Mus musculus: one gene and its partners. The protein of the gene in region 2 binds, or shares a complex with, the protein of the main gene of each other region. Links are inferred from orthologs where the notes say so. Each region holds a gene or a part of one and is shown on either strand. Other genes may lie near its edges.

The links.
Region 1: B9d1 (region 2) and Cep290 share a complex: the UniProt entries of both Homo sapiens proteins name them as parts of the tectonic-like complex. The link is inferred for Mus musculus from reciprocal best matches to the Homo sapiens genes B9D1 and CEP290.
Region 3: B9d1 (region 2) and Tmem67 share a complex: the UniProt entries of both Homo sapiens proteins name them as parts of the tectonic-like complex. The link is inferred for Mus musculus from reciprocal best matches to the Homo sapiens genes B9D1 and TMEM67.
Region 4: B9d1 (region 2) and Tmem107 share a complex: the UniProt entries of both Homo sapiens proteins name them as parts of the tectonic-like complex. The link is inferred for Mus musculus from reciprocal best matches to the Homo sapiens genes B9D1 and TMEM107.
Region 5: B9d1 (region 2) and Cc2d2a share a complex: the UniProt entries of both Homo sapiens proteins name them as parts of the tectonic-like complex. The link is inferred for Mus musculus from reciprocal best matches to the Homo sapiens genes B9D1 and CC2D2A.
Region 6: B9d1 (region 2) and Tmem216 share a complex: the UniProt entries of both Homo sapiens proteins name them as parts of the tectonic-like complex. The link is inferred for Mus musculus from reciprocal best matches to the Homo sapiens genes B9D1 and TMEM216.
Region 7: B9d1 (region 2) and Tctn1 share a complex: the UniProt entries of both Homo sapiens proteins name them as parts of the tectonic-like complex. The link is inferred for Mus musculus from reciprocal best matches to the Homo sapiens genes B9D1 and TCTN1.

Annotation. Positions count from the first base shown.
Region 1 is NC_000076.6:100,511,582-100,515,081, reverse strand, and holds part of Cep290 (centrosomal protein of 290 kDa), read right to left. Parts: intron 2,796-3,500; coding exon 2,683-2,795; intron 2,499-2,682; coding exon of another isoform or gene 1,740-2,498; intron 1,522-1,739; coding exon of another isoform or gene 1,429-1,521; intron 1,163-1,428; coding exon 1,078-1,162; intron 625-1,077; coding exon 482-624; intron 1-481. UniProt on the Homo sapiens protein: Involved in early and late steps in cilia formation. Its association with CCP110 is required for inhibition of primary cilia formation by CCP110.
Region 2 is NC_000077.6:61,510,788-61,513,431, forward strand, and holds the end of B9d1 (B9 domain-containing protein 1 isoform 1 precursor), read left to right. Parts: intron 1-1,584; coding exon 1,585-1,652; intron 1,653-1,864; coding exon 1,865-2,007; 3' UTR 2,008-2,144; downstream 2,145-2,644. UniProt on the Homo sapiens protein: Component of the tectonic-like complex, a complex localized at the transition zone of primary cilia and acting as a barrier that prevents diffusion of transmembrane proteins between the cilia and plasma membranes.
Region 3 is NC_000070.6:12,085,138-12,089,217, reverse strand, and holds the start of Tmem67 (meckelin precursor), read left to right. Parts: upstream 1-1,280; coding exon 1,281-1,503; intron 1,504-3,217; coding exon 3,218-3,306; intron 3,307-4,080. UniProt on the Homo sapiens protein: Required for ciliary structure and function. Part of the tectonic-like complex which is required for tissue-specific ciliogenesis and may regulate ciliary membrane composition.
Region 4 is NC_000077.6:69,069,597-69,073,608, forward strand, and holds Tmem107 (transmembrane protein 107), read left to right. Parts: upstream 1-1,212; 5' UTR 1,213-1,350; coding exon 1,351-1,437; intron 1,438-1,627; coding exon 1,628-1,695; intron 1,696-1,777; coding exon 1,778-1,878; intron 1,879-2,826; coding exon 2,827-2,923; coding exon of another isoform or gene 2,924-3,002; exon of another isoform or gene 3,003-3,149; coding exon 3,150-3,219; 3' UTR 3,220-3,697; downstream 3,698-4,012. UniProt on the Homo sapiens protein: Plays a role in cilia formation and embryonic patterning. Requires for normal Sonic hedgehog (Shh) signaling in the neural tube and acts in combination with GLI2 and GLI3 to pattern ventral and intermediate neuronal cell types.
Region 5 is NC_000071.6:43,700,379-43,703,878, forward strand, and holds part of Cc2d2a (coiled-coil and C2 domain-containing protein 2A), read left to right. Parts: intron 1-2,812; coding exon 2,813-2,969; intron 2,970-3,482; coding exon 3,483-3,500. UniProt on the Homo sapiens protein: Component of the tectonic-like complex, a complex localized at the transition zone of primary cilia and acting as a barrier that prevents diffusion of transmembrane proteins between the cilia and plasma membranes.
Region 6 is NC_000085.6:10,552,964-10,557,257, reverse strand, and holds the start of Tmem216 (transmembrane protein 216), read left to right. Parts: upstream 1-1,494; 5' UTR 1,495-1,532; coding exon 1,533-1,545; exon of another isoform or gene 1,546-1,559; intron 1,560-2,093; coding exon 2,094-2,195; intron 2,196-2,636; coding exon 2,637-2,729; intron 2,730-4,294. UniProt on the Homo sapiens protein: Part of the tectonic-like complex which is required for tissue-specific ciliogenesis and may regulate ciliary membrane composition.
Region 7 is NC_000071.6:122,254,461-122,257,960, reverse strand, and holds part of Tctn1 (tectonic-1 precursor), read left to right. Parts: intron 1-339; coding exon 340-491; intron 492-3,377; coding exon 3,378-3,477; intron 3,478-3,500. UniProt on the Homo sapiens protein: Component of the tectonic-like complex, a complex localized at the transition zone of primary cilia and acting as a barrier that prevents diffusion of transmembrane proteins between the cilia and plasma membranes.

The DNA of each region.
Region 1 (3,500 bases), on a different chromosome or scaffold from region 2:
AGTCAAGAAAAATATGCCTTTAAATAACTAATCATCTTTCCATGCTCACTGCAATGTCTAATATGCTATTTATATTTCTTATGAAGTAATATTTATAAAATTTAAGTTTAGTGTATTTATTACACAGTAATTACTTCATTAAAATAAATAGCATTTAGTAAATATTTATAGATTAGAAAATGATCAGCACTCATGAGCCAGCTTATTAGCTGAGCAAATAACTTTGACTCCTTCCATGTCCACGTCCTCACTCATCTATCACGTAGAGCATCAGTCGGCCAGCCTGTGGACGCAGTGCTGAGCAGCTGTAGCTGGCACCAGCTGTCTGCATTTGCCTGCCACAACAGGCTATGCCTGGAATATAATTTGTCCTTTTTCTTATGTTGCTTTTTAACTGAGTATTTTATCACAGCATCAAAATGAAACCAATACAGGAGATGAGTTGGCTGAATGCAGACATTAACGTGAAAACATAACTTACGTTAACCAGTCTTTCAAGACTCGGGATGATTAAAGATGTTTCACCTCCTTTCACATCAGAATCCTTCGGCATGTCCTTAATAGCTTGCAAAATTTCTTTCATACCTTCTTCAAGTTGCTTATTTTCTTCGACTAATTCTTTTACTGTAATTATAATTTTTTCACGTTAAATGAATAGGTCTTTTCTACAACATATTACTTCTTGTTTCATGACAGATTTCAAATGGAAAAAAAATGAAAAACAAACAAGGAAATAAAAAATTCAACTATAAATTCAACATAAATGCTGAATTAAACACCACACCTGTTTTAGTAATATACATATGCAAATATATAAATGAAAATTAATATATATGTAAATACAGATAGATATAGCATAGCTTTGACCTATTAAAAATCTTTAAATGTTTATAAGTTTACCTTCACTTGAGCATAAAATATGTGACACATATTTTCATAAAAACTGGAAATATTCTATAACAATAAACATAGCAATGTAAACTACAAAGCTAAGTAACATAGACTGAGCTATATATTATAAAGGCAATTAAAGATTTAAAAAATGGAGCAGATAAGAAAGACATAAGAGTGACTTACGTTTACTCTGGAATTTAGCAATTACTGTCCTACTTCTTTCTAAATCTTTTTCCTTTTCAGCCAATTCTCTTGAAAGAAACTCATTCTGAACAAAGAGAATAAAAATGTGTTATATCTCAGTAATAAGCAGGTTTCAAGTTAAAACAATGCTTTACTGATTCAAGTTTAGCCCACCAGAAAACAAGCTAGAGCAGCATAGCAGTTATAAAGTCCAGAGGGCAAAACAGAGATGGCCACGATTCTACCACCTCATTCACCCACATTCCCCATGGCAGGGCACAGAGATATACAGGGGTTTTCTGTCTTTAGCGTCAACTATATCGTTGTCTTAATGGTCGATCTTTACACTACCTGTTCTGCCTGGCTTCTCTGATGGTCAAGTTCTAATTCTGCATTTCTACTCTGCTCTTCTTGGATCGGTAAGTCCTGAACTATGGTTTCGTTCTAAAGAAACATTTAATGTATTAATTAGGGGAGTCAACAAATTTAATGCAAATATACTGCAACTTTAGATTTTTTAAAAGTATAGATTTGTTATACATGAGTGTTAATGTGTAAGTAAAAAGAAATCTTTCCAGAATTTTTTAGAGAACTCCGGTTAATAGTAATAGTAATAGTAGTAGCCCAGGAATTGCATGAATCTATTTGGAAAGGAAGCTCACCTGAGACCTAAGGAACGCTAGCTGGCGCTGTGGCTGCCCTATGAGCTTTTCAAGGGGGTGTATCAGAGACGGTTTGGACTGGGCAGTAATGGGCACAAGATCTGAAAGATTCACTTGGGTCTTACTGCTCAGCATCTCAGTTTGGGAGGGTAATTCACTTTGTCCTTTATCGTCTTTCAAACTGAGAACGGCATGCTCTATTTGAGAATAGACCTGGTTATCTTCTGACGTTACTTTATCCACATCACGGTCATACGACTGTTGAGGAAATATTGCGGAGCTCTGCCTATGTGATAGTTTCTGCATTAATTCTGCAGCTGCTGGTGACACTTGAAAAGATGAACTGCTCTTCTGTAGGAACCTGGTTTTCTCTAGACCTCGATGGTTTCCTGACCCTCTCTTCATATGGTCATCAGAGAGAGAGCATAAGTATTCACTTAGTTCTTCACTGCCGTCCTTACTGAAGGTACTGACTAACGATTCTAGCTTTCTCAAAGATCGTAGGCATGGTGCTTTAAAAATCTCCCTTATTGTAATAGCTTCTGGAGTTGCACTGCTGTCTTTCACTTGCATAAATGAGGAGCATCTGGTTAAGGAGACAATAGGGTCCCCTGCACTGCCTACACTCTGATGGATTCCAGACAGCATTCTCGATAAGGATCGTGTGGCCATGTTCTCCTCTGCCTCACTTTGATCTGACTGTACAACACTGAATGATGGCCTCCTATGCAGCAGCTCTGTTTTAGCTGAACTCTTAATCTGTATGCAAAGTAAATAATGTCTCATTAATCAATCTTCTGATCACCACACTATTTAAACAAGCAAAAATTATTATTTAATAAGCTAAGGGGGCAGATGTGCTAAATGAGGTTAAGTGAAGAAAAATACCCAACTGCTAGCATTTTTCCTTCTTCTTAAGTCAGAGCATTACTGTTTTATTTACCTTTGATTGTGTTTCATTCATATTATTGAGGCTCATAAAATTTAGTTTTCTTCCTTCTATTTTATTTTCATGAGAAAAGGTTTCAGATAAGTTCAAGTCGTCAATGGTTAATCCTACAAGACGAAAGAAATAACAAATAAGAAGCAGCAACAACAAAAATAATAACTCTTTTATCCTAATACAAGAATAAAGTTTTAACGCAAAAAATGGTTTAATATTTTTAAAATCTTTGACCAACATGCAGCCAATATAACTTTGATCTAGCTTATTTTAATAAGCTATATCAATAAGGCAATAATTTGAATTTTATCATCTTTATCATTTTATTCTGTATTAATTTTAAAGTACCCATTAATAAGTAGTAAGACATTTTAAAAATATAAAGAAATAAATTAAAACCCATAAATTTTTACTGTATATATTTACATTTTACTTTTTTTGTGTGTGCTGCTGGCAAGTGACTTTGTGCAGGTTCTATACATGGTAGACAAGTGTCCCAATACTAGGGTTTCACCCGAGGCTAGCATAACATGGCAGAAAAGGGGGCAGAAATATTTTAGGAGCCAGAGGACCAGGACATCTGAGCAAAGATAGAGTCTTTTGTACACGACATAGAAGTTACACCCATGAAACTGCAACAGCACAGCCGTTTAAACAAGACCTGAACAATGAAAATGCCAGTTAATATACTAACATGGACAGGGAAAATGACACTGGGCCTCAACACTAGATGAAAAGTTACAGGAAATTGAAAAATGCTGAGAGAGGGAGAATTTGTCTTCCCCTTAGATAAGTCCTCTACCCAGTATACCAATGCC
Region 2 (2,644 bases):
TGTTCTGTCTCTTCTCAAATGAAAAAAAAAAAATTTTTTTTTTCATTTAAAAGAAATGTAGGGCTGGAGAGATGGCTCAGTGGTTAAGGGCACTGACTGCTCTCCCAGAGGTCCTGAGTGCAATTCCCAGCAACCACATGGTGGCTCACAACCATCTGTCATGGGATCTGATGCCCTCTTCTGGTGTGTCTAAAGACAGCTACAGTATACTCATAAAATAACTAAATGTAAAAAAAGTTTTTTGGTTTTTTTTTTTTTCTTTAATAAAAAGAAATGTATAGAGAACTTTGTGAAACAACGCCACCAGCATTCTGGTGTGCCTGAGAAGGTAGAACGTTGTCTTCTTTCTGGGAAGTTTGTAGCAGGCTTTCTGGTAACCATGACTATAGAAGAGAACTGGACATATGGTGATGGTGGGATTGCTCTCTGAGACTCCTCATAGTACTCAGGTGAGTGCACTTTCAACTTTGCTCTATGATGGGGAAATAGAAGAGAGACACCCACTCACCTAGTTTCTTCTGGAATGCTTAGCTGTAGGAACCCTGGCTTCTTTACTTTGGTTGTCTGAACAATTCTCCTCCTCCTGGGGCCCCCTCAGGAACTCCCACCCAGCAGTCTAACAGGCCTGGAAGCCCAAAAATCTAGCCATACCCTCAGCATAGCTGTACGTAGTGGATGTGTAGTCATGGTTACCAGAAAGCCTGCCACAAACTGCCCAGGGAGAAGACAAATCTACCGCCTCAAACAGGAATGCTGGTGTTGTTCCACAAAGCCTAAGTTGGTCCTGGCTGCTATGCTTAGACTAATCCTATATGCTCCAAGCCTATGGTTTCCACCAAAACGCTGGATCTGTAACCATTTGTCTTAGAGGCATGGGTAGGGCCCAGGATCTGAAGTTTGGGTGCAGTAGGATTGTGAATTACAAGACATTTGTAGGAGTGCTTCTTAGTTTGCCAGCTAGGGCCTGGGGGCTAACTTAGCTAGGTGAGACTTAAAAAAGTCAGATGACCTGTCGTTATCCACAGCCACCCAGGGCCAGATCCTCCCTAGAAGGGTAATGTTTTATGCGGCAGGTGATGGGGTGCCTTCACTTCATGTAGTCTCATGAGGTAGGTGCTATTACCTTATAGTAGACAAACAGGTTCAGTGATGGGGTGTGGCTTGTTCTGCATCCCATATAAGGAGGCAAAGCTTGGGAAGCTGGATCTGGCCCTTCTTGGGATTAGGCTCTCTCTGAGGAGATTAAGGGTCACACTGTTTTGCTTCCACCCTTCTGACCCACCTGTTTCTTTTGGGGGTTTCCATGGGTTCGGGTTGCACTATTTGCCCCACATCTCCTTTAACATTCATCCTTGGTTAAAACCACCAAAGAATTGGCTAGGCAGGCTGGATGCTCCTTGGGGCAGCTGGCGTAAGCACTGCTAGAACTGTTGGCAATGGACCCTTCAAATAGTTAAGAGGTTGTCCTAGCACCTAGAGGAGGGGTTGTAGGAGAAACACTTCTTTAAGCCTAGAACACTCTGGCTCAGTGTCTGAAGTCAGCAAGTCCCAAGTACTCCTCACCGTGTTTTCCTATGTTCTCAGCTGGTTCATGGGACGGCGACCCGAGTACACAGACCCCAAGGTGGTGGCCCAGGGTGAAGGCCGGGAAGGTAAGACTGATGCTCCCAACCGTAACTTGAGGGTTGAGATGGGCCCCCAACTCCCCAGAAGCCCAGAAAAGAGATTGTAAAGGTGAGGGAGCTTCCAGACAACTGGGACCTAGTAATATACAAGACACCCACCACTTACACAAGGGCTTCAGCGGGTGGTTTACCATGTCTGCCCCGGTCAAATCCAGCTAATGCCCAGCTTCTGTCCCCAGTGACTCGTGTTCGCTCTCAGGGATTTGTTACCCTCCTCTTCAATGTGGTGACCAAGGACATGAAGAAGCTGGGCTATGATACTGGGCCTGTGGACACACAAGGAGTCCTGGGTCCTAGCCTGCCACAGGGCAACCCACAATAAAAATCAGCCCTTCTGTCCGCCACTGTGGACCAGATGCCCTACAGCCCACACACAGCCAAGGACATGCCAACCAGGCTGGGAAACAGGGGAGCTAAAGGTAGTTTTATATAATAAAGTGTCACATGTTTTTCAGAGGTTCTGGGGCCTTCATTTCTTGATTAGCACCTAACAGGAACAGGCCTGGGGCCCAACAGAATAGACCCAAGTAGGATGCTATGGTCAGTGGGGGCCTCTCCAGGATTGTCAGCAGCTTGCACAGAGCTGACACCCACCCCTTCACTGCCTCAGCACTCCTTTCTAAAACTTGTCTTCCTCAGCAGCAGGAAGTTAAAAGTCACTTGTTCCATGGCTGCCGCTATGACTGTTTACATTGTTAGCAGAATCTGTAACAAGTACTCCTTGGGGCACCTGCCTTCCACCCTCCATTCCTATTCCCCACACCCATCCTAATTCTCATGTGCTGGACCCTGAGGATGGGGCAAGAGCCATCCCAGGCAGGAGGCTGTACCACCAGCGTGGGTTTCTGGCAAGCTCCGCAGCCTAGCACCCTGGCATCTATGGGAAAGCAACTGGGCCTCTAGTTTTTTCCATGTTTGTTGGTAGTGGTGACACATAAACATGTAGTCACACTACACCA
Region 3 (4,080 bases), on a different chromosome or scaffold from region 2:
TGAGCCCCTGACCCACCCCTGAAAACTTCCACTGGGGGGCGGGGATGTGAGGCAATTGTAAAATATACAAATCAAAAAGGTTTCTTTTTTTTCTTTTCATCATAATGAACCGCTTTGGAAGTGGAAAGCTGCAGAGTTTTCCATCCTCTCCTGTGATTTCTGTTAAACCTGAGAAAAACAGGGCAGTTGCATAGGCAGATAAAAGCAAGCTGTATTTACAACAGGCCTTCGGGCTGCCTTACCTAAAGTATGTATTACAGAAAGCATCCCTTCAACCTTTTATTACTGTGCTGTTAGGTGTATGTGACAATTCCCAACAATCACACTATGTGGCAGTTCTCCAGTCGGGGGTTTATTGGGATGGGAAATAGAGTTATCCTCTGGGAGAGGGAGGAGAACCAGGGACAGGGGAGAAAGGGAGAATGAGGCTTTTATTAGGCATTGTTGCGCTAACAGTCTGCAAGGCTGTGCACTTTAATAGGCAATATTCATGTATATCCAAATTTGGTTCTCAAACCAAGTGAGATGAGGTGTATATGTAGGGTGCTTTATGCACAATACAGAGAAAGTATGAAATCAAGATTCAGTAGGCAAGGTTTCTCCTAGACTTTTGTCATAAAGGTATTATATATAAAATCAATGAGGGTTTCTGTTTGTATTGCTTTGCTAAAACTCAAACTCAGGACTTGAAACAATCCCTACCCTTAGTGTTTTTTAAATAATGTAAAAACAAAGCCGGGCATGGTGGTGCACGCCTTTAATCCCAGCACTGTAGAGGCAGAGGCAGGCGGGATTTCTGAGTTCGTGGCTAGCCTGGCCTACAAAGTGAGTTCCAGGACAGCCAGGACTATACAGAGAAACCCTGTCTCGAAAATCAGAACAAAACAAACAAAAAAAGTAAAAACATAGGGCACCTCCTTTGTTGTCAAAATTAATCCCCTGGGTAAACTGTCATGTAGGTGTGATTGCCACTTTCATGAAACACTTTTAAGTGCTAAAACCATATATTTTCCATTGCTGTAGTAGTATTTCCTGACACGGTAAATTGACTGCGTCCCAGAGTTTTAAATACATTTTAAATAACCGCCCCTAATTTATTTAGCATATGTCTGATCCATTGTTTCCCGCGTGCGTGGTAACCTAGCAACCAGGCGTCGCAAGGTTGAGTTTTTTTTTTTTTTTTTTTTTTTTTTTCTGAACCCTGTTGTCCAATCAGCTCAGCGGACTCACCGAGGAGGCTGCTGGGGAGCTGGAGACTGCGGACCCAGGATATGGGTACCATGGTGACGCGTACAAGGCCTGTGGCGGCCATGGCGGTCAGATCTCGTTCTTCATCCCGGACTGGCACCGCCTACCTTCTCTTAGTTCTCTGCGAAGTCTCATGGGCACAAATCTTCTCCTTCCCTTTCCGGCGGCCTGAGACCTGCGACTTCAACCAGTACTTTGACATCTCGGCGCTCTCCTGTGCCCCCTGTGGCGCCAACCAGCGGCGGGATGCACTAGGTGAGGCGGTTTGGGGGTGGATGGACTCTGACCAAAATAAAGCACTCCTGACAGCCAGCACTCCAGACATTTTATTTGGAGAATGTTTCAGAAAATGCACAGCTATCAAACCTAAGAAAGGGTTTCCTGGGAGGATACGGCTGACACAATGAGATCAGTCACCCAGGCGCCACCACCCTACCCTCCTCCAGGAACTCATTCCCCGGAGTCAGTCTCTGGCAGGGAATCCTTAGGATGGCACCTGAAAGCCGCCTAAGAAAAGTAGAATAGAAATAGAAAAGAAATAACCTGAGGCGTCTAGTGAGGTACCCTGACAGGAAAGCAAGGGAAGAAATGTGAATTAGTAAACTCTTGTGACCATTAATTCTACTTCCAAATTCAAGATATTTAAAGCTGTTTGCAACTGTGACTATAATCAGATTTTGTAAGCAAAGGAAACTGAAACCGAGATGTTGTGACATCTGTGTGACATATACTGGAAACTAAGAGAACTCTTGTCTCTTCCTCACTTTCTTTTTTGTTTTTTGTTTTGTTTTGTTTTTCGACACAGGGTTTCTCTGTGTAGCCCTGGCTGTCCTGGAACTCTCACTTTGTAGGCCAGGCTGGCCTCGAACTCAGAAATCCGCCTGCCTCTGCCTCCTGAGTGCTGGGATTAAAGGCGTGGGCCAGGACACCTGGCTTCCCTCACTTTCTACCTCTGCATTCCCAGCGCGTGGCTTTGCATCTGTGGTTACATATTCCCTTAGGACCTGTCCCTTTTATTGTTGATGACTTCTGTTTGCTCACATTGTCCTTTTAGACTTAATTGCATCGATTGGTCTAGTTCTCCCTTAACTACTCAGAATGAGTCTTTTCCTATTTACTGAAGTCTAAAATGCTGTGAATCTCAGACTGGTTAACTCTCCTGCTTTAGGCCTGGTAGAGTCTCACTTAAGGCAGTGCGGATCACTGTGTCAGAAGATGGAGTGTGAAGAGCAAACGTGTTCTGCATTGTATTGCTTTCATGACAATGAATGAAGACGTGTGTGTTGTACATAGACTCCTACAGGTGCTGGCTCTACTTAGTCCTTAGAGAATTCTTTCTTTAACTAGCTGAGTCTACTTGTAATTACAAACAACATTTATTTTCTTTCTAGAGAAAGAGTATTTGAATGAAAGCAATTTTCCAATAAGATATTGACAAAATTAAAACTCACTAAACACACATACATATGGTTTAGTGATGCAGAAATGTAATTCCTAGAGCAAGTAAGTAGTTTTCATAGTTCAATAATAATTGCAGTTTAAAAAGTAGCAACATGATGCCAGACATATTTCTAAACTTTGACCCTATTAGGTAGGTCCTGTTTTTTTCTCCATTTTACTAAACAAGAAGCCGAAGTATAGAATTCATTAACCCACTCAGTGTTTGCATGTATACGCACAGACCCATAGACACATATACATGCACAGACAGACAGACAGAGAGACAGACAGACAAAGACACCTGTTGTCTCTCATATAATGCCCAGTCTGGCCTCGCACTGTCTGTGAGCAGGGATACCCTTGAAGTACTGCCTGAACTTCCTGCCTCTTCCTCCTAAATACTGAGGTTACAGGTATACACCACCACTCCAAGCTTCAAAATCCTAAGAACTGTTAAGTTTGTGTCTTGGAGTTTTGTTTGCTAAGGACAATATCAGCTTTGTTTTTTTTTTTTTCTTTTTCTTTTCAGGAACTTCCTGTGTATGTCTACCAGGATATCATATGATCTCTAATAATGGAGGACCTTCTATTATTTGTAAAAAGTGTCCAGAAAACATGGTATGAATAATTTATTTTAAAATAACTTTTGAGAAAAAGTCATAAATGTCTATCTCTCAGACTTCAGTATAATTTCCCATTTGTTCACATACTTTAAACTTTTTTTGTTTTGGGTTTTTTGTTGTTGTTTTTTTGTTTTGCTTTTTTTGTTTTGTTTTTTTTTTTGTTTTTTTGTTTTTTTGTTTTTTTTTGGTTTTTTGAGACAGGGTTTCTCTGTGTAGCCTTGGCTGTACTGGAACTCACTCTGTAGACCAGGCTGGCCTAGAACTCAGAAATCCGCCTGCCTCTGCCTCCCAAGTGCTGGGATTAAAGGCGTGCGCCACCACGCCCCGCTACTTTAAACTTATTAAGGTAATTTTATTAGTATACATTTTGAGAGATCAGTAAAGCAAAGAAGAAAACTTTGGGGAAAAAAGACAAATTCATTTTGTTCTGAAAGTGGTTGAGTCAGATATCCCAAGTACAAAGCTGTGAAAAAAAATCTTTCTGTTTGCCTCACAGAATAACTAGGGTATAAAGAGAAGCTGAGTATTCCCTATGTAGAGCCATTCGGGGTAAAATGTCTTTGCTGTAGATGGCATTCGCTGTCTTAGATGTACTGTGCTGATCGTCTTAAATGATGCTTGATCCTCCTAATGCTACATGAGGTTCAGCAATCCTCATGCTACATTAGGTACAGCAAGTCGATGCATTGCCGGTTGCATCAATAGAAATGGAATCATTCGAAGTTTGCTTAGTTTCCTCATTACATAATGGTTCAGGGAAATTCGACTA
Region 4 (4,012 bases), about 7.6 Mb from region 2:
CTACCCCCCGTTCATTTAGAAGACCTCCAGTCTGTCTTTCATGACCTTTAACTGGCTTAGGAAAGGGAACCCCATGTATTACTTTAGGGAGACAGAATCATTTCTTCTTCTTCTTCTTCTTCTTCTTCTTCTTCTTCCTCCTCCTCCTCCTCCTCCTCCTCCTCCACCTCCTTCCTCTCTCTCTCTGCCAATTCCTTGAAACAAAAATTTAAGAAGTATCTATTTTCAAAGCTTCCCTTTGATATTATTCTAGTATTATCTTTTAATTTAAAAAAATTATAGCACGCATTACCTCGCTGGGTTTTGTTCTTGTTTTGGCTGTTATCAATCTCCCCACCTAGAATATAACCTGGAGGGACTTTATCGAGGTACTCTCAGATTTGGGGCACAGTGCCTGGCATCTGGGAGACATCAAATATTTGTTGAATAGATGAAATCCCTCTGGTCCTGAGCCTTGTCTTTTGGGCTGGTTTAGAGGCACAAAGAAAAAGGAATGGAGGGACCAGAGAGTGCAAGTGGGATGGGAGGTCCATTGACATGGGACTTGATTGTGAACTGGAAAGTGCTGAGAACTTTCCGATTCTCCGATCTGCAGGGATTTCATCCGAAGCCCCAAATCGGTCACATCACCCTAAGAAGAGGTTCTTGGTCTGTAACTGAGCAATGTCCGGGGCCTAACAACTCAGAGCAAGAGTGAAATCGGTGGTGGGTCAGCGTCCCAGCCTAGGCTAAGCGCAAGCAGTTCCAGTCCCCCGCTCCATTCTTCACCCTTTCAGATCCCCTCGGTTCCCGAGGCAGTCACCTCACCCACATCCAATTTTAACCATCCCAAGGCTGCTCATTTCTGCACTCGGCAAATCTCTCATGACACGGAGACAAGTTATTTAGGAAGAAATTAGAGTCATTCTTCGGCAAAGTTTTGCTCTAGGGCGGAAGGGGGAGTCCTCTGACAACCAGGGGCTAGGGGACTTAGCCTGACCCTGGGACAAGCTCGGTGCATCAGCCTCTCCTCGTTCGTCCCCTCGACTCCTAGCGCCCAAGGCAGTGAGTGGGAAGCACAGGAGAAGGGAGGATTTGGTGGTTCTGGCTGCATCCTCTTGGGTCCATCAACGGCTCACGTACCGCGCCTATAGACGTTGGTAGAGGGAGCAGCACTATCGCGAGACTTCCGAAAGCAGCAGCGTGGCGCTTGCGGACGCAGTTACCATGGCAGCCGGGCGGCGCCCGAGCGCGCGGGAAGGACACTTAAGTAGAGAGGTCTGGCCTGCTTGCTCAGGGAGACTTGATGAGTGACCCACCCCAGACTTCCAACCTCAAAACCCACGGCCTCCACTCGAGGCCCCCGAGGCCATGGGTCGGATCTCCGGGCTCGTGCCCTCTCGGTTCCTGACGCTCTTGGCTCATCTGGTGGTTGTCATCACGTTGTTCTGGTCCCGGGTAAGACGCGGACAGGGCGCGCGTGCGCGTGCCCTCCTGGCCCTCCCATTCTCATCTTGGAGTGGACCCAGCTCAGCTCAGTCCACTCACACAGGGTCCGTTCGTTGCTCCGTTCCCCGGCCCCTTCCCAACTTGTCCCCGCAGCCCCATTCCTCTTTTGACATTTCTTTCTTTCTGCCCGGCTCGCCAGGAAAGCAACATCCAGGCTTGCCTGCCTCTCAAATTCACCCCGGAGGAATACGAAAAGCAGGACAACCAGTGAGCTCTTGGGGCGGGGTGAGAGTGCAGGGGTCTTCAACAGAATCCAGAAACCTTGGTCCAAGCCCTTTTCTCTCTGCAGGCTGGTAGCCGCGCTCTGTCTCACCCTGGGCCTCTTTGCAGTGGAGCTGGCTGGCTTCCTCTCAGGAGTCTCCATGTTCAATAGCACCCAGAGCCTCCTCTGTATCCTTTTTATTTGGCCATCGTCCTCAGGTGACTCATCCCAGTTACCACTCTTTCCACCTCTGTAGGCCTTTGGGGCACAAGTGTCTGCTCTACATGGTAAACCGAATCTCTCTCTAGGTGAGAGGTTTTAGACACTGTTGGGGAATTAATAGACTTCAAACATTCGTTAAATCCGGATGTGAGCCAGGTTCTGGCGATCCCTGGATGGGAGTAAAATCATTTTATCCCGTTTGAAGAGGTGGCAGACAAACATCTGTAAATCAGTGTGATTAAACAGTATGCTTGTAGGTGTGTGTAAAATACAAAGCACTATGGGAACTCAGAAGGGACCAAGAAAATAGAGCCCAGGTGTGGTTCTGCAAGCCTTTAATCCTAGTGCACGGGAGGCAGGGGCAGGTGAATTTTTTGGGTTTTTTTAAATCTTATTTTACTTATATATTTAGGTTATCTAAGACAGGGTTTCTCTATGTAGACCTAGGCTGTCCTGGAACTCAGTAGACCAGGCTGGCCTCGAACTCCGAAATCCACCTGCCTCTGCCTCCCAAGTGCTGGATTAAAGGCATGCACCACCACTGCCTGGCTTGTTTTGTTTTGTTTGTTTGTTTGTGTTTTTAAAAAGGTAGCTCTTTACTCTTGAATTGTGGACAAGGAAGACCAGGGCACTGGAGAAATCCCCAGTGTATCAGATCTGTAGGTATTCTTGTGTGGCCTAGGGCATATATGACATTAACCTTCCCAGAAGTGTACAGAGTGTACAGGGAGAGGTCCTATCAAAGCAAACTCAGCTCTGGTCTCTTACACATAACTGTCCATAAATTCAGAAGGCATTGGCTGCCAACTCTGGCGCTTGTCTTAAGGGAAGGGTACAAGCTGAACCCAAGTCCAGGTACCAACGGGGCCCATCACGAACCGATTACTTTCCTTGACCCCCTCTGTATTGTTAAGCCATTGCAGCCCACTGTAGCGCGTCTGTGGCCCTGTCTTTCTTCGTATTCGAGCGATGGGAATGTACCACGTACTGGTACATTTTTACCTTCTGCAGGTGCCCTAGCACCCAATATTTTGGAATGGGGGGGGGTGGTGGAAAATCGATCCCAAATCTGAAGGTTTCCCCCACCTAGACCTTTCCTGCACATGTGAAATTGGTAGAGTTTTGAAGAGTCATACCCACCCTAACCCACCCGCATATAAGGTTTGGAGGTTCAAGTGTTTGGGTTGGAAGGGGCTCTAACTCCCCCCCCTCCCCCGCGGCCCCGTACTTTTCACAGCGCCTTCCCAGCTGTCACTGAAACTGCATTATTCATCGCTGTCTTTGGGCTGAAAAAGAAACCCTTCTGATCACAATCCGGGTGTAGGGACCAAGGCTGGAAAAGTGATGAAGCTTCCTCCCACTGCTGCAAGAAAAAGGCAGAGGCTTCAGTTTTCTCTCGCCCAAGTCCCTTGCTCCTCCCAACTGCGGCTAAGCAGAGGATGGCAGTGTTGGAATAAGATCTCTCAAATCTTGGATTATAATTTTATTAGAGTTTTGTAATAAAATTTATTTTATAACAAGAGCAAGGCGTATACTATTTTTCAGAAGACCATTGGATGGGCCAAGAGGCTGGTATAAATAAAGGCTTTTATCTTGTGGTTAGGGCTAGAAGTAATGCTTCTATTTGGGTTTTTACGCTAGAAGCTAGGCGGAAGTGAGTGGGCGGGGATATGCAAATAACTATCTCACATAGCGCTTCTAATTTGCCGCGTGTGAGGGGAGCATTCTGGGATGGTTTTGTTTCTCCCTTTTTGTGCCGAATGGAGAATAAAATACTTCAAACGACTTGCAAATAGATATTATTCTTGCGTTGCAAGAACTGTAAGTCACTGGGCTCGTGCTAAAGTGACGTATTCTCACCCTTCCTTTAATAGGAAATGTCTCTACTTATTTAGCAATGGGCTCCCTCTGCCTTTTATCGTCAGGAGGTTAATCCTTACCTGTTCCTCCTTTCGGAGGGCAGTAGAAAATGATGATTGGAGCTTGCATGATCTGCTGATTAGCATTTCCATGCAATCAGGACCTGACAACATCCTGGTTGCTCCTATCTGATTCCCTGGCGATCACACTTTTCCAATGTGCTGATTGGTAGACCTTTAC
Region 5 (3,500 bases), on a different chromosome or scaffold from region 2:
TTCAGACACACCAGAAGAGGGCATTGGATCCCATTACAGGGGATTGTGAGCCACCATGTGGTTGCTGGGAATTGAACTCAGGACCTCTGGAAGAGCTCTTAACTGCTGAGCCATCTCTCCAGCCCTGAGAATATACAATTTAATATTGCTTGTTTTCCACTTTTAAAGACTCAATGTGTAAATACACAATTCTTTGTGCTATGTATATTTCCGTGATTGACAGTATCTAGGTGAGACGTTGTCTCAGTCAAGAGAATGCTTGCAGCATAAGCATAAAGACATGAGTTCAGATCCCAAGCACCCATGAGAAAAGCTAGGCATGCTTTCACAAGTTTGGAATTCTGGTGCTTGGAAGTTGGGGTCAGGACAGATGGATCCCAGAGGTCCCTCGCCAGCCAGGGTAGCCAACTGATGAGAACCAAGTTTAGGAAGAGAGGCTGTCTCAAAAGATAAGGCTGAGGACAATAGTGGAAGACACTCAACATGTCAACATGTATCCATACATACTACACACACACACACACACACACACATACTCACACACACGCCCCACAAACTTTGCTACATAAGAGTTTCAGACTTGCCTTTTAGTGTGCTCGCACCTCAGTTTCCTGGATGCATGTCCCTGGAAGTGAAATTGTTTTCTCCCATTTGACATGCTGACTCCAAATGCACTTGAGAGGTGTGATATCCCTTAATGCCGTCACCAGTGTCCCTGTCACCTGGTATACTTTCTATTCTCCTGACTTCTCATAAGGCTGGGTTTATTATGCCTCCTTTACCTGCCTGTGATTTGCATGCCTTCTGAAGATACCTGGGACCTGAACTTGCACATGAAATGTGCTCCAGGTACCCAGGACCTCTCTGTTCTCAGGAGATCTTCCCCCTTCTTCCTTCCCACCCTGCCCCCCCATTCATTTCTGCCCCTCCCTCTTCCTTTTTCCCTCTAGTGAGAAACTTTTAGTTTTAAAACATAGAATATGCTCCTGTTTGTTGTCTGGTACTTTCTGTCTCCTGTTTCATACAGATAACTACTTCACCATCTCCTACAATCTTCCTAGCTATCTGTTTCCCATTTCCTTTTCAATCCAGTTGCAGTTGTTCCTTGTTTGTAGTATAGGAAAGATATGCTTTGCTGACCCGTGTGATTCCTAGTTCAGGAGAACTCCATACATCAGTAGGAATGTAGTTTAATGCCCCACTGTGCTGTCGATTTCCATGAAGACTCTCTCTGCAACTGCTATTGGTCCCTTTCTGGGCATCTCTTTGGGGCATGGTGTACCCATACATATGTGAGAAAAGTAACAAACTAAGGCATTTATCTAGCACTTTGCTTAACAACAGATACTTTCCAGTTGAAAATAATTATAAATTTTGATGGAGAAGCTGTAATTGTCCAAAACTGAAACCATTCATAACATGTTCAGGGCAAATACAAGTGTGATTGCCCTTTGAGGCAGGAGCCTTGCCACATTGGGTACATGGAACTAGCAGGGTACCTCCCACTTAGTATCTATTCAAAATGCTGAGTCAAAAATATTTCAAGCTAGAGATACAGCTCAGTAGTAGAGCCCTTGCCTAGATTTAGCCAAGACATTAGCTTCAGTCCTCAGCCATATACAATCAATCAATCAATCCATACATACATAAATAAATGTATGTCCCAAACCTCCCCCACAAGTTTCTCTCAAGATTTGTTTCTGCACACAAATATTGGACTAACCCTCATAGTTTTAGGCAATGGAGAAATTTACCGAGTATGAAACCAGGAAGGTAGACCACACCAGGTAAAAATGAGTCAGCAGTCCATACCCAGCACCAACTCCAGACTGCCAGGCTGACACAGGTGTGGCTTGTCTGTTGTGCCCCCCTCAAAACCTCCCCAGTCAGGAATGAGGAAAAGGCTCCTTGTAGACGAGCAGGGGACCTTCACATCTATTTAACCCAGTACCTTAGTTAGGATTTCATTGCTGTGAAGGGACACCATGAGCAAGGCAATAAAGAAAAAATATTTAAGTGGGGCTGGCTTACAGTTTCAGAGGTTCAGTCCATTACCATCATGAAGGGAAACATGGCATCATGCAGGCAGGCATGGTGCTTGAGGAGCAGCGAGTTCTACATCTTGATCAACAGGCAGTAGAAAGAAACTGTGTGTGACACTGGGCACAACTTGAGCATATATGAGGCTTGGAAGCCATCCTCCACAGTGACACACTTTCTCCAATAAGGCCACACCTCCTAATAGTGCCACTCCCTATGGGTCAAGCATTCATACATGGGAGTCTATGGGGGCCATACCTATTGAAACCATCACAATTACTGAGATGGTTGTAAAGGGCATTTCCGTACTACAGACATCTACAGAATGCACTGTGGATATACTCTTGTTATTGGGATGAACTAATGGCTTGTCAACAAAATCATAAGGAAACAACCTGAAGTCATCAACCCAAGTTCAGGAAGTGGCTTAAGGGACTCAGTAACAAAGACATAATAAAACTATTCAAATGAGTCCCCAGGCCCTTTGGAGTAGAATTTACTCCACCTTGGCAACCCACAGGGACAATTATCCAGAGTGGCCCTATTACTAAGTGGTCCACAGCTCTTCCCCATGTATACTCACAGGCTAGTTTCTTAACTGTCTGTGTTAATGTCTCTTCAGGGTTGATGATAGCGTGAGGCTCACAGCTTAATACAAGCAATGGTTTTAGACAAGACCCTGGCACAGGGCAAGCCCAGCACTATATCTGCTGCATGGTCACCATCTTACGTCATTCCAAGAAATAACCACGATCTGCAAATTCATTTAAAGGGAAAAAGTTGACCCGAAACTAGATGAGGATGCATATGAAGCCGAGATTCAAGCTGAGATCCATGAACTGCTGGAGGAACACATGGAGGAATATGCAACAAAGATGGAAGAGTACAGAACATCTCATCAGCAATGGAAAGCCTGGAGGAAAGCCCAGGTTTGCAAAGCATCACTCAGCATCACTGCAGTGGGGCTGCCTAGGGAGGGCCTTGGAAGGCAAACCCCTGAGGCAGGAGGAGGGACGCTAGACCAACAGGCCACACCTAGGGCTCCCTCCGACTCTTTTGTTAGGGAGGCCCAAAAGGGATTGATTGGGTAATATCTTTTTTCCAAAAAGCCACTCAGACACCATATTGATAGCACTGTGTATAATCAGTAATGTACATGTCGAATGTGTATTTGCCATGCATGGAGGGTGTTGATGCCCCTACTGAATGCTCTTCAGATGTTGCCTCATTTCAGAAGCTGTGTGTGTGTGTGTGTGTGTGTGTGTGTGTGTGTGTGTGTGTGGTGTCTGTTTGTCTCCACTTTGGGGGAGAACCAAAGCACAGGGAAATGATGTTAGAGACGGGCTGAGGGGGGGGGGGTGTCCAGTTCTCTCTGTTCTCAGTGCCATGCTGCTGAAAGCCAGTCCCGGAGACTTGAAACCAGGTCACCTTCTACCCAACAGAGGGCCAAAAAGAAGAAA
Region 6 (4,294 bases), on a different chromosome or scaffold from region 2:
GCTGAGTTTTATTTGTGGCTTACTAAAGAAAAGTGTGTAAGAGCACGGCTATAGATAAAGCCCAGTGGGGAGTGTTTGCTTAGCAGCCCCAAGCTTTGGGTTAGACCCCAGAGGGCAGGAGACCCAGCTGCATATTCTAAGGTTCCTGCAGGTTACTGACTTAGTCTGTGTCCACTTTTGGTACCTATGCTGTTGTGGCATCCTGACATGAAACAGCATCATTTTCTTAACCAACCAGGTGATATTAAGGCTATAGATTATATCATCTCTGTTGACAATGGGTAAACTTTTCACTGTAGCATGAGAACTATATGTGTATACAATATCAAAATGTTTAGGCAGAGTGATTTAAGACCCATAATTTACAAAAACAAGCAACTGGTCCACCCTCCTTTCCTCTGAGACTCAGAGCAGGGGTGTGTATGAAGGTAGTTCAGATGGGGTGCAGGGACCAGGGCTTTCTCCATCACCTCACCTTGCCGTGGTCCTTTAGTGGGAACTTAGAATTCCATTTAAGACCTGCCAGAACATTGTGACACCCACTTGAAACCCCTGTACTGGACGGGAAGCAGAGGCAGGAGAATTTGAGGCCTGCCTAGCCTACATAGGAGACCTGTCTAGCCAAACTAAACCAGACCTGAATAAGGCAGTGGAAGGCACAAGCAGAAGTGAAGGAGGAAGGAGAGCAGAGGTGGAGGTGGGGAGTGATGGAGGGAGGCTTCTACTTAAATTATTCTCCCGGAGTGAGGACCTGCTTTGAGAAGCAACAATTACTGCCTTTATCCACACTCCTACTAGGTAGGGAAATAGCACTTTCATTACAGGTTACTTACTCTCTCCCGTTATTTGTTGACTGACTGCCATACTCTAAGGGCTGACAGCTGGAGTCTTTTCAGAAATCTTACTCTTTCACCCCCTGCCTGCAACAACACGCTCTTGCTTCAAATTGCGGCCAGGGTTCGTTCATAGCGCAAGCTTGTTGGAAACATTTCTCAATTTCCAACTGGCCAGACGCTGTCTCCTTTCAACACCCTTGCACTCTTTGGGTCGCAGGAGAATCTCATTATAGCACCGCTGTTTTCCCTTGTACTCCTAGAAAGGACATTCTATCTTCAACGGTTTTGGTGTTTACATAGGCTCCAGGTAAGCCTTTTGCACGACAGTGGCATGGGGTGTTTTTAAAAAAAACACATGCAGTAGAAAAGAGAATGGTGGGCGCAGGGCCGATCCTCCAACTACTCGGCCACACCGGGCCACTAACGACCTACGCCATGACGCCGGGGATGGAGAGAGTTCAGCTGGAGAAGTGTTCTGGTCTCTCTGCCGTCGTTTAAAACCCCATCCTCCCCCTAGACCACTGTAGGTGGTTGACGGCTGGCGCTGTTCTGTGCATGGGCGCGGCCGGTGGGGTAACCATAGAGTAGCACCGGCAGGCAGAGCGGCCAGAAGACCGGGCGGCTCGGTGCCGCGCTTCCGGCAGCGCCGCATTGCTCCGGGCGCTGCAGTGTACGCAGTTTCCATGGGGACTGAACATGGCGCCGCGAGGTGAGACTCTGGAGGTGTGTGTCTCTGCCCCTTATCCCACGGGTACCTGCCAGCCCCCTCCACCTCTCTGTCTCCAGAGCTCGACCTAATCCTCCATTTCTAAAAGTCGGGGTCTTACTCTTCACTTGTCTAAATCGGGCTTGGGTTGTTCTGATCACCCCGAGTGCCTGCATGGGTACTCGAATACCGTACTCTTAAAAATCCCCGGCTGGCCCTATTCTGGGATGGCTCAGTTATGAATCCTCCCGCCTTGGACAGAATTAGTTTCTGTGCCTCAATTTCCCCCTCAGAAGTGACAGGGTTGAATATTTGAGGTGCCTCTCAGCTGTGATTATAGCTGAATTGTCAGAGAAGTAGATGTCAAAGTGATTCCTGAGAAAGGAGATTGAAGGCAGTTCCTGCCACACCAACACTCACGTCATTAGCAATCAGAAGTTTCTCCCTCATTCACAATAATCTTGTGATTTCTCCGGATTACAAAGAACCTTCACACAGAACAGAGTAGAGCTCTAGCTGCCCTGCCCATTCTTTGTTTTGCTTTCTTTCAGATAAAAGATTGTCCTCAACCCCCCTGGAAGTCCTGTTCTTTCTGAATGGGTGGTACTATGCTACCTATTTCCTGCTGGAGCTCCTTATTTTCCTGTACAAAGGTAAGCCTGGGCCTATCTGCCTCTGCCCCAGCAACCCTTTTCCACTTTAGCATACTCCAAGAACCTTCTATCTTCTGGTCCTAGCGGCATCTCCATTGCAAGGCAGAAGTCTCTCCAACTAATGGCTTTAGAATGATCAAATAGGATGTCTTTCAGCAAGACTTGAGTTTGAGAAATGTGGGTTTCTCCATCCCAACTCTTTCCCCATCTCTCTTTACTAAAATATTCAGATCTGTGTACCATTATAATTCAGTCATTTGGCAGAGTCAGGACTTGGAAACTTAAAGCCTGTAGCTGTAACAATCTATACCTTGCTGATTTGTGAGATGTTAAGACTGGTTGGTATCCTTGTCCCGGGTTTGTGGCCGTCCATCCTTGTGGGGCCGTGGGGCTGACCGTTAGCTAGGTGGTGTGTGCATACTCTGGCTTTCCCTCCTGTAGGGCTCCTGTTGCCGTACCCAACAGCCAACTTAGTCCTGGATGTGGTGATGCTGCTGCTCTATCTTGGCATTGAAGTCATACGATTGTTTTTCGGTGAGTGTTGTTCAGAAAATATTTCCATTGCTTATGAGACATGCTGGAGCCTGTAACTTGATTAACAAGACAAAGAACCTAGGCTCACTATCAGAGTGGATCTGGTAATGTATATACCATTGCTTCTTCCCTGAGGCTTCAAGCTGCCGCTTCATATTCTAGGTCAAGGTTTACCTGTGTGTTTGTGAGTGAGGCTAGAAGCGGGCAGTAGCACTGATCTTAGACCAGTCCTCCCAGCTGCCTGAGTGCCACAAGAGTGCCTGCGTCTTCTCCTTGCTCTGAGAGAGGAAAGCAGTACATTCCTAAAGAGCTCAAGATCCCCTCCGCTTCTCTAAACAAGGATTTCTCTAGAAGTTCCTAGACACCAGAGAACAGAGCAAAACTGCTGATTACTTAGAATATATCATCCTAGTGCGAAAATACAAACCTAAGGGAGAGAATGGTAAGGGATACTAACAGTCAATTCACAAAAGTCATTATAGAGGACCAAAAACCTTGCTAAGGTGAGCATGGTGGCACATGCCTTTAATCCCAGTACCCTCTGGCAGAGACAAGGGGATGGCTATGCATTCAATTAGACATAATGAATTCCAGTGCAGACAGGGATGCGTAGTTAAATAGATCTTAAATAGATCCTAGCTAAAAAAATAAAACAAAACACCAAAACAATAACAACACTTGCCAATGTGCTCAAACCTAGTAAAGAAAAGCAAGAAAAATAAGGTAAAAAAATTTTTTTTTATATATTGGCATTAGTCAGAAAGATTTATACAGTACAGTATCCATATTTGGCTTGTGATATACATATTTTTTAATTAAAAGTCATTATTTTATGCCGATGGATATTTTGCCTGTATGTATGCCTGTATACTACATGTATGTCTGGTGCCCACAGAGGTCAGAAGAAGGTCTTAGGCTAGAGATGGCTCAGAGGTCTAAAAGGACTTTTAAACCTCCTGCTTTTGCAAGAGGACCCCAGTTTAGTTCCGAGCATCCACATCAGGTAACTCACAACTGCCTGAAACTCCAGCTTCGGGGATCCAATGTTGTCTTCTGGCCTTTGTAGGCACACACAAACACCCAAGTGAGAATTAAAAGTTAAAAAGAAGAAGAAAAGGGCATCAGATCTTCTGGAACTACAGTTACAGACTGTTAAGCTGCCATGTGGGTGAACCTGGGCCCTCAGGAAGGTCAGCAAGTGCTCTTAACCACCCATGATCCATCTCTGTAGCCCTAAAGAACAGATATTTTGTTTTTGTTTTTTTGTTTTTTCGAGACAGGGTTTCTCTGTGTTGCCCTGGCTGTCCTGGAACTCACTCTGTACACCAGGATGGCCTCGAACTCAGAAATCCGCCTGCCTCTGCCTCCCAAGTGCTGGGATTAAAGACGTGTGACACCACGCCCGTCTAAGAACAGATATTTTTAATGCACTTAAATTATTGTACATATTAATTGAAGTTTTAATGTATATACACATTTGCATACACACATGCATATTATAGCTATACATATTTTACATATACACATATAAATTACTATGTGTATACACATGGATATATGTATAC
Region 7 (3,500 bases), on a different chromosome or scaffold from region 2:
TGTTGACCACACAGACCAGGGTGGTCTCAAACTCATGATGATTAGGGATCCTGTTCATTTAACAAGCCTCGAGAAATCCTGGGAGAGGCAAATGTACAAGAAAACATTTTAAAATTAAATGTGTGTGCATGTGTGTTTGTGTAGACTAGAGGGTGACTGTTTTAGAGGCTCTTTCTTCTGTGTAAGTCCTAGGGATCAAACTGAAGTGAGGCCTGCCGTCTAGACAGCCCGGAAAGACTGTTTTCTTCTAGGGGTTTTATTGCTATTAACAGTGGTTTCCAAAGGTGTGATGTCACATACTCTATACATTCCTGCTGATTTCCAATGCTTTGTCTACAGACAAGCCTGCACTGTCTTTTGCTAATCCAGAAGTGCCTGATGAAAACAATTTTGACAGACTGATGCAGACATCAGGTGGCTTTACACTGAGTGCCGAATCCGCTGTTCCTTCCACAGCCGCATCAGATGGCCCACAGCCCACTAAATACGAGGTGAGCCAACAACCCGATGGCAGCTGTTCATACATCCTGAAATACTCTATCCTTAGAAGCGAATTTCAGTATCAACATATAAAGGCAAACTGCCTGCCCTTGGGACATCCACGAGAGCACGGAGAGTGGATGCTACTCTCTGTCAAAGATCATGAGAATGCAGGCGAGCGCTCAGATTCTGCACTCAGGATGTGAAGTCACTTCTGTACTGAATTTTGTCTCTGTGGAATTTTCTGTTCTTTTGAACCCTAGTGCATGTGTGTAGCGGACTGACTGCAGCCGCCTCTGGCACAGGGACTGGGCTCTCTGGACGCCAGGTACTCATCTCGGTCATATTTAGTTTTACAGACATTAGGAACCTACAGGCTATTTTATATCCTTTCGTTAGCAAGCCCGTAAAGAATGACTCGTTAATGTTGAATGTGGTCAGCTTTAGAAGCTGGGCTTGCTGGCGCCCACCGGTCATCTCAGCCTTGGGAGCTGGAGAGGTGGGAGCTCACACATAAAGTAGCGTGACCTCCATGAGACCCTGCCTCAGAACAGAGCAGACGGACGTCGGGATAACTGAGTGCTTAAGCCCTTAGCCACAGGCACCAAGACAGGAGTTCAAATCTCCACTGTCCATGTAAATGCTGATGGGGTTGTGCTGGCCTGCCTGTCATTTCAGCATTGAAGGGTGGACATGGGATTCTCAGGAGCAGGCTAGCTACAGACTCGCTTCACCTGCAAGCTCAGGGCTTGATTGAGAGACCCTGTTTCACTGAATATGGTGGGTGAGAGATTGAAGATGATGTCTGACATCAACCTCAAGCCCGCGTTTGCACATGCATCCATGTGTCTGTGCAATCACACACAGGTGTGTCCGTGTGCCTAGACAGGTACATCACACACACACACACACACACACACGCACACACACACAGAATAGAGAAAGAACACCTTTTCAGCAGCGTCCTCTGATGAGGAAAGCACCGTGCGCACTAGTCGTCAGAGTTGGACGTCACAAAGGAGCCTCAGGAAAATGCAGAGGCCCCTGGTGGAGCTCATGCTTGGTGTGCCCCAGGGTGTGGCTGGCATCAGTCCCACCGGCTCACTGGGCCCAGAGGATCCACATTGCACATGGCCAGGAAGAGCTCGGCCCTGCTCATCCTGGTTTGTAAGTTCATCTACAAGCTGTGGAGAGAACTGTGGTGCTGGGGGTCACAGTTAGAAACATCATCCTAGGACACTTTTTTTCTGTGACAGACTCTGTGTCTTCCCGTGTCAATATGAAGATTGGTTGCTGCTCCTGGAGCATTCGCTGCCTGCCAGGCATCATGTCAGGCTTTCCAGCATTCCTGCCTACTGCCTGGGCAGGACGCCCTGCTGCAAGAGCAGTCCGTGCTCTTAACTATCAAAACACCTGCCCCTCCTGTGCCACCATCCTGTCTTTGCAGACATAAGCTTCCAGCTTCTGTTGTTGTGAATAGAGAGACCTTGTCTCAAAAACTAAGATGAAGACAACTAGATGACCTCTGACCTCTGTGGGCCCTTCCCCATTCACAAACACATACAATCTTATAAGATTTTAATGAGTATCACAACTACCATGAAAATGAACAGTGATTTGTTCATGTCTGTGCTCAGCCATCTGATTCCTGTCCACAGACACACACACACACACGTGTACACACACATTCTTCTGAGCCTCTATTAATTTATCTGAGATAGGATCTCACTGTGTAACCCTTTTTCACCTAGAACTAACTCCCTGTGTGGACCTAGCTGACCTCATCTGCCTGCCTCTGCCTCCCAAGTAGAGGACACAGTTAAACCTGGGTAAAGGCTTGAACCACCACACCTATCCCAAGCAACTTTAATCCCAGTATTGGGAGGTTGAGGCAAGAGGACCACTTAAGCCCTGGAGGAGTTCAAGACTAGCTTGGGCAACAAATTAAGTCATCTCAATAAATACATAAATTTTAAGGGGCTAGAGCAGTGGTTCTCAACCTTTCGAATGCTGTGATCCTCTAATATAGTTAGTTCCTCATGTTGTTGTGACCCTTAGCCATAAAATTATTTTCGTTGCTACATCATAACTGTCATTTTGCTACTGTTATGAATTGTAAAGCGAATATCATATATTCAGGACGGTCTTAGATGAGCCCTGTGAAAGATTGAGAACTACTTACTGGCTTAAGCCTCTTGCAGACGCTCACTGAGAGTCTCTCTGCATCTCAGTTCTGCTAGACTCAGAGAAACTCTGCTTTTATTGCTTACTCTTGGCAGGGAGGGGCCTAGTGAAGCTAGCCAGCTTCAGGGACTTCCTGAGGCTCTTGTGAGTTGTTTACCTTCCTGCTTAAGGATTGTTCCTTCAGGGTGGAATGTTTTAGTCTTGGAGGAAACTGTTATGTAACAGTTTTGGCTGTGTAGACCTGGCTAGCCCAGGACTATATAGATAAGGCTGACCTCAAACTCACAGAGGTCCATCTGCCTCTGCCTCCTGAGTGCTGGGATTAAAGGTGTATAATACACAAAATTTATTTTAAAAAGGTGTGTGTGGATGTGATTGACAGCCGAGAATGAGCGCTTGCATGCACTCTTGCACGTGCGCGCACACACACACACAAACACACACTCGTGCTCATCACTGTATTCCCAAACCCTCTGTGTCAGTAGGAACTATGTTCAGCACTGAGTCCCCAAACCCACAACTATATATGAGCCCTGCATGGCAGGGACTGTACCCAGTACTGTGTCTCCAAACCCATAGCTATATATGGGCACTGTGTGGCAGGGACTGTGCTTAGTACTGTGTCCCCAATTCCCCCGCTCTGTGAGCATTGCCATGTGTCTCGCCCATGCTGAAGGAGCACCTTATCTAACCTGTGGGTGCTTTGTTTGCAGTATGGAGCCCCTCTGCAGACTGCAGGAGCATCTTCAGGGTCATTTCTGAAACTGCCCTCGCCTCTCACGTCATCTCTGTGTGCAGATCAGAACCCCGCAGGTAAGAGGGAGCTGCTGCTCTTC